Canis lupus familiaris: one gene and its partner. The protein of the gene in region 2 interacts with the protein of the main gene of each other region in a pairwise test. Links are inferred from orthologs where the notes say so. Each region holds a gene or a part of one and is shown on either strand. Other genes may lie near its edges.

Evidence for each region.
Region 1: the proteins of TLE1 (region 2) and HES6 interact in binary tests that used the Homo sapiens proteins (3 or more experiments, as listed by UniProt). The link is inferred for Canis lupus familiaris from reciprocal best matches to the Homo sapiens genes TLE1 and HES6.

The regions. Positions count from the first base shown.
Region 1 is NC_049246.1:48,991,782-48,995,416, forward strand, and holds HES6 (transcription cofactor HES-6), read right to left. Parts: upstream 2,329-3,635; 5' UTR 2,272-2,328; coding exon 2,191-2,271; intron 2,121-2,190; coding exon 2,034-2,120; intron 1,928-2,033; coding exon 1,846-1,927; intron 1,706-1,845; coding exon 1,281-1,705; 3' UTR 636-1,280; downstream 1-635. UniProt on the Homo sapiens protein: Does not bind DNA itself but suppresses both HES1-mediated N box-dependent transcriptional repression and binding of HES1 to E box sequences.
Region 2 is NC_049222.1:78,254,074-78,257,617, forward strand, and holds part of TLE1 (transducin-like enhancer protein 1), read left to right. Parts: intron 1-2,656; coding exon 2,657-2,804; intron 2,805-3,544. UniProt on the Homo sapiens protein: Transcriptional corepressor that binds to a number of transcription factors. Inhibits NF-kappa-B-regulated gene expression. Inhibits the transcriptional activation mediated by FOXA2, and by CTNNB1 and TCF family members in Wnt signaling.

The DNA of each region.
Region 1 (3,635 bases), on a different chromosome or scaffold from region 2:
TGTCCCTGAACTCACTGGTATTGGGGTATGGTTCCTCTTCTGTCAGGAAAAGTGACCACCTGCCATCGCATCATGCTCATAGATCCTAAAACAGGTCTTTGATTGGAGATCCCAGTGCGGGGGGGGGGGGGGGGGGGGCGGGGGGAGGGAGTCAGCAGTTTAGTGCCTGCCTTTGGCCCAGGGTGTAATCCTGGAGTCCCGGGATCGAGTCCCACATCGGGCTCCGTGCATGGAGCCTGCTTCTCCTTCTGCCTCTCTCTCTCTCTGTCTCTCATGAATAAATAAAATCTTAAAAAAGATTTTAAAGAAACTTCAAAGCACATGGCTAGGAAGTAGCCATTCATTTTATTCCTAGAAGCTCGTGAATCCGAGAATGGTCCCGGGACACACTATTTCCCTGTTGCTTGGTTACTCTGGAGACAAACCCCATCTCCAGGGCGCACAGCATTCCCAGGGAGGTGGAGGCACTACCCACGGTGAGACAGGCCACAGGGGGCCTCCTCGCCACCACCATTACGCTACTAACTTTGCCGACAGAGGGGAACAGGCTTTAGAAACACTCACTGGCATTAGATACAGGAAGAACGCCCTTAGTTTAGTATTTACACATTAGACACATTAATGACACCACATCATTCAGCCCCACTCCAGAAGGGTAACTAACTCTCCAAAAACCTTTATTTAATAAAACCAGAACATCTGATGGTAAACTAATAACACAGACTCAAATGTGCTAGATGCAAGACGTTCAGGGGGCTTTGCTTCTCTCTGGCACACATGGGCAACATGTGTGCAGAAAGCACCTGCCTCCCCCGTGTCCGACTGAAGGGGCAAGTTCAAGCTGCTGCTCAGGCCAGGGCCGTCGGGGTCTGAGGTCTCCCTCCGTCCCGGTCCCGAGTGCCCCACACCGAGAAGGGCTTCAGCGCCACTCTGGTCACGTCTGCCCCCAGATCCACACAGTCCCCGAGAAGGCCGGGACAGTGAGACCCTGGAGAACCCTGGTAGTTCTGTAAGATTCCTCCTCCTGCCTGTAGCTCCCGCCCTGCACCCACCCGGGGGGAGCTGTGGGGTCCATAAGAGATGGACTTCCTTAAGAAACACGGCTAGGGGCCTGCCTGGGCTGCTCATCCCCGCTGCCCTGCCACCCAAGCACCCGGGGAAGAGAGCCGGCCCACCTGGGAGGCACCCAGGTCCCCGCCCCACACATCTGGACCGCAGGGAGGCAGGAGCGGAGCAAGGGAAGGCCACGGCCACCCTTGCACACCTCGGGCTGGAGCTGGTCACCAAGGCCTCCAGACGCTCTGGGCTACGCGGGTAGCGGTCAGGCTGCCCAGGGCTGCTGGCACCAAGTCTGGCCCTTCGGCCGGCGCTCGGGTCAGTTCAGCCTCGGGGGCCTCCTCCAGGTCGGAGCACGGGTCGTCCCCGGGGCCTGGGGGGCTGGGCAGAGGGGACCCCAGGACCCCTCCCGTGGGCCAGCCGCTTCGCCCGGGGGCTCCCGGCGGCCCGGCCAGGGCGTCCCCCAGCAGATCCCGGAAGCTGCTGCCCTCGCGCAGGGGCATGGACTCGAGCAGGTGGTTCAGGAGTTCTGCGGCGACGGTGGCATCGATGGCCTGGCACGTGGACACGAACGTGTGCACCTCGTGCATGCACTGGATGTAGCCGGCCGCGAAGCGCTCGCTCGCCTCCGCCTGCAGCTGCTCGCGCTCTGCGCCCGGGGGCGGGAGGGAGAGAGCGGCGGCCCGGGGCCGGTGAGCGGCGACTGCGGAGGCCGGGCTCCCCCAGGGGCCCTGAGGTCGCCGGGCGGGGGGTGCCCAGCCCCGGCCCGCCCGCGCCCCCGCCACTCACCGCGCGCGCGGCCCCGCAGCGTGCCCTGCACACGCCGCACCGTCAGCTCCAGCACCTCGGCGTTCTCCAGCTTGGCCTGCACCTGCGGCGGCGGGGCGGGGCGGGGCGGCGCGGTGAGGCCGGGCCGTGCCCCCGCCGCGCCCCCGCGCCCCCGCCGCGCCCCCGCGCGCGCCCCCGCCCGCCCTCACCTCGGCGCCCGCCAGCAGCAGCCGCAGCTCCTGGAGGCTCTCGTTGATCCGCGCGCGCCGCTTCTTCTCCACCAGGGGCTTCCGGGCCTGCGGGAAGCGGCCGACTGAGCCCCGGCCCGGCCCCCCGCCCCCGCCCGCCCGCGCCCGCGCCCCGCACCTTGCGGTCCCCCCGCGCCTCCCAGCCGTCCTCGTGCTCCCGGCCCGCGCGGTCCCGTCCCGGCGCCAGGGGCGGAGCCATGCCCGCCCGGCTCGGAGCCCGGAGCCCGGAGCCCGGAGCCCGGAGCCCGCCGCGCCCTCGCCGCCCCGCCGCGCCCCGCCCCTCTTATAGCCCCTCATTTGCATCTCAATGCGCGGATTGGCCGGCCGGGCTCGGGGCCGCGGGCTCGGGGCGCGCGGCGGCCAATGGGAGCGGCGCGCATTGTCCGGCCCCGCCGCCGCCGCCCGCCGCCCGGCAGCTGGTGGGGCGGGGCCGGCGGGGCCCCCAGCGCGGCCTCCGCGCCCCCGCCGCGGCCTGGGGCGCCCGAGGGGGCAGTGACCCGGGGCGCGGCCGCGGGGGCGCCTCTGTTGCCCCTACCTGAGCCAGGCCCCCGGGTCCGCGTGCGCCGGGGCCGCATCCCTCGGTCCCTCGTCCTAGTCCGCGCCAGGGGCCTCCCGAGGGGCGTCGGGGGCCGGGGGGCCGGGGGGCCGGGGGGCCGGCACCGTCAAGGGGGCTCCCGGGGTGGCGAGCGGCTCCCTGGCTCCCCGGAGACCCCTGCGTGCTGGTCCCTCCCGCGCGGGACTCGACCCTGCACCGCGTCCTGCGCCCGCGCGGGGCCGCCCTGCCCTCCTCGGGTCACCCTTCTCCCGGGCACCCCCCCACACCAGCAGGCCTTTCCTTTCTAACCATCATCGCTGCCCCCCTGAGCCCCGCAGGTCCCCCTAATCCCCTTCACTCCCCCGCCCCCCGCCCTCCCCGCACGGACATCCCTGCCCTCGTCCCCGCCCTTCCCTGCCCCCCCTCCCCCCGCTCCCGCCCCGTCCTTCTCCCCACTCCTGTTCATTCTCCCGGGCCAGGCTCCTCCGCCCCCCCCCCGCCCTCCTCGCCTCCCTTTCCCCCCCAGCACCCCCCCCCCACTGGCCGAGGCCGCCGTCTGGTCTCCGTAACTTGATGCCCATGACAGTTGGCAGCTGCAGCGGCTCCGCTGGAGAAAAGCGAGGGCCGCGCCAAGAGCGACAGGTGTTGGCCGCGCCTTTGTCTAGGCGCGCTTTGTCCAGCGGCGGATGGCGGGTGAGCCTGTGTCCGCCAGACGACCGCCCCCGCCCCCCGCGGCCGCCCATCTGCCAGACCGGCCTCCCTGCGGGTGGGGTGTGTGGGCGGGGGGCCGCGCCCTGGGCAGCACCCTGGGGACCCCGGCTGTTCCCGGCACAGCGAGGCTGGACGGGCAAGATGGGCTCTGGGCAGCACGCCTTGGCACAGGCTGAGCCTCCCACCTGGAACACTCTTCAACACCCCTCCAAGGATCTATCTACTCACTGTTTAGGTCTCCGCCTCCCTATTCCTCTTCCTCCTCCTGGTGGGAGCGCACCTGCCCCGCAGTAGCGCTGCACCCCTACCCAGCCCCA
Region 2 (3,544 bases):
CATTAGAGGAAGACACACACAAAACAGTTTTAAAGTATCCTTGTTTCTCAAAAACTAAATCAGCACTGTCCAAGGGTCATTCTCCCCAGGAATGAGCCCAACTTCCTGGAATCTGTCCTCTTAACTGTGGTGACAGCTGCAGTCCTGCCAGCCCAGTGTCTCTTCTCAGCCCTGGCCAGCTCCTTCCCTCTGCTGGAGTCAGAGTCCACACCAGAGATGTTACAGAAAAGTTTCCAAAGGGAAGCACCAGTTAAACATCCCAGGTAAAACTGGTGTGTGTTCTGGTTTATTCCCTATTTCAACTTTGCTCAGAAGTGCTCTTCATTTATGGTGTGTTTTAGGCTCATGAATTACTTAACAGGTCCCCTAATGCTTTGGGTCCATGTGCCAGAGCAAAGGGATGGACTTTAGATGTCATTATAGCAGCTTAGTCTCTGTCCAGATGTCCTCTGTAGAAATCCAGTCAGTGTCACAGAGCCAGGCTCTGTCCCTGTGTGTGGGTGACACCATGGCCATTATTTTTCTCTTGTCACCTGCTGAGCAGCTCAGAATGTGCAGAATGGACACATGCAGCTGGAGCTGACACCCCCTTCAAACTTTTAGCCCAACAGGTGTTTGTTGTTTTTTTTCTTTTCTTTTTTTTTTTTTTAATCTCAATAAATAGCACTTTCAACATTTTAATTCTAAGGCCTTTTCAAATACTAATCCGTTTAATCCTCAGAACATCTGCACTGCTATTATTTTGATTTTATAGGTAAGGAACCTGAGGTACACAGAGAGGTTAAGTCTGTTTGCCTGGCTCACACAATTGGGTGTGGGGGAGATGTGATGGGGCACAGGCATGCTGTTCTTATGTCTGTGCTCTGAACTCCTGCTCTGTGCTGGCGCCCTGCTGAATATAACAGGGTAATGTTTTACAAATGTCTTGCTCAGTTTGGGTTGGCTGCAGGTGGCTGGTGGCTTCTCTGTATGAGAAGGTGACATGGAATCTGCTGAGCATCTCAGTATCTCCCGAGACCCAGCACGGTCTGAGCCTGTCTTCCAGGAGCCTGAGATTAGTACCGAGATTTGTGGGTGGGAGGGGTGGAGGAACACCCACCAGGCACCTGACGTCAGCAGAGAAAGGCATTCATGACTCCTAGAGAATGCAGAGAGGTCACTGGGTTTCTCGAGTAGAAACCAGGATGGAATAGCAGAACTTTCACAAGATGAGTCTGAGACTGCAGTCGTCCTGGGTGACCTGTGGGGAAGTCTTGGAGGAAAGGGCAGCTGGCTGGGGTACGTGTGCATGGGACATGGTGGGGAGGGTTGCGTGCATGCGGGGAAGAGGACGAAGATGGATATTCAGAATAGCTTTTAGAGGAACGATTTTTGAAGCTCTCATCTTAGAATTCACATCAAGTGGTGCTTTGTCTTGTCTTCCACACTCCTTAAACTCTTTTTTTTTTAAATGATTTTATTTATTTAGTCGAGAGAGAGGCAGAGACACAGACAGAGGGAGAAGCAGGCTCCCTGCGGGGAGCCCAATGTGGGACTCAATCCCAGGACCCCAGGCTCATGCCCTGAGCCAAGGGCAGATGCTCAACTGAGCTACCCAGGCATCCCCACACTCCACTCATTAAATTCTAAGCTCAGTTTCAAAGTTTGGAGCTCTGTGAGAATAATAAGGTGAGGGGACCTAGAGGAAGGACAGACATAGAGACTCCTCTCTGGGTGTTGAAACTCCCCAGCCCCTCTAACGTATCCCGCCTGGTTCCCCGTAGCAATGGGGTCTGTTCTGGTCACTTCCTTGCTGGCTCCCTCCTGCCCTGCAGAACCAGGTCCAGAATCCACAAACCACCAACCCTGCGGTGGCTCAGTGTGGCCTCTCCCTCAGCAGACCCCACCTCGGGCCTAGCAGAGCCTCTTTGTGCCACAAACCCCTGTCACTTGATTGTTTCTGGTCTTGTTTTTTTGACTGAACCACAGGAGTTCTCTCTAAGAGAGAACCTTGAGCTGACCTTCAAGGCAGGGTCCTGCGGAGTGCCCATGGGTCAGCCTCAGAAGTTAGTGGTCTCTGCTCAGTGCCCCCGAATCAGGAGGATGGTATGATCCTTCATCTCTGGGAGTCCAGATTTCCTAACGCAGGGCTCTTTCTAACACAGAAAGCGAGGTTGAGTAAATATGTGAGCTCATGCTGTGTTGGCATGGAGGGCATTGCCTTGTGGACTCCCTCATGGAAAAGGGAGTGTTTCTGGGACCCTGAGCTGGTAATGTACTGATGCAGGCCGACGTCTTTCTTTACAGAATACGCTTGGGATTCTGTGTGTTTGTCCTTCTTTTTTTTTTCTTTTAACACTCAAACACTTTTCCAGACCCGGGAGGAATTTTACCTTCCAGACGGATTTGTAAGAAGAGCTACAAGAGCGCATTTAACTTCTCCTGTGTGATGACCTAAAATGGCATTCCATTTCTTTAGCACTTGGATCGTGAAAAAAGAAAAGGGAAAAAAATCTGCAGGTGCTGTTTCCTCCTCGGGGGAAGGTTAGTTTGATCTTGCACATCAGCAGACACTGAAGAGATGACACACACACCCCGCGTCCAAAACTAACAACACAACAGTGTTTACCTTGAGCTCTGGCAGGAAATCATTATTCAATCTCGTTTGTTTTATCAGGCAATTCCAGGGCCACACAGATGGGGCCAGCTGTATTGACATTTCTAACGATGGCACCAAGCTCTGGACGGGTGGCCTGGACAACACGGTCAGGTCCTGGGACCTACGCGAGGGGCGCCAGCTGCAGCAGCACGACTTCACCTCACAGGTGATGTGCTTTTCCCCACAGGAATCTCTGAAGTGGCCTGTGTGTGATGTCTTCCTCCCTTCATACCCCGTGGCAGTAATTATGAGGCAGACAGACTAGCCTTAAATTTGAGATACCCATTTAAAACAAACAATAAAAAAACCCCACAAACAAAGCCTCTGAAATGCTTAGCGTGGTTTCTAAAACTTTGTCAGTAAGACCTGTGAGTTTTACTTATATGTGAGTTCACCGCAGGAACTTGTTCAGCAAAGGACATACAGTTTGACCTGCTGTACATATTCCCATCATCTAGTGTGGGGGGTGAGAGGTCATTATTGGATCCACATATAAACAGAGCTTGAAAAATGTGCCGGGTTATCATGAGGAGTCAAGAAAAATCACAACACTCTGAAAGTTAATTCATTTCCCTTGCATAGGGGAGCTTAAAAAATGCAGCAGCATCTCAGTGGTTGCCCATTTTCTTATTCATCCCTCGGAAACTGGACTCGTGGCTGGCTAGATTTATGGAGGTTTGAAATTACAGGAAATGGCAACTTTGTGGGTCATGGAGATGAGTTAGATATCGAGTATCTGAATCTAGACTTGTTCTGGGAACAACGGTGCCATTCTAGGTGTCTTCTGACGGTGGGATTGATCTTTTGATCATTACTCGTGTATAGCTGTGCATAATTCTAAATTTTGTGTCCCTGTTAATCTTGTGGGGAGTCTCTTAGAGTCTTCTCATTCCAGCCCTTTTCTCG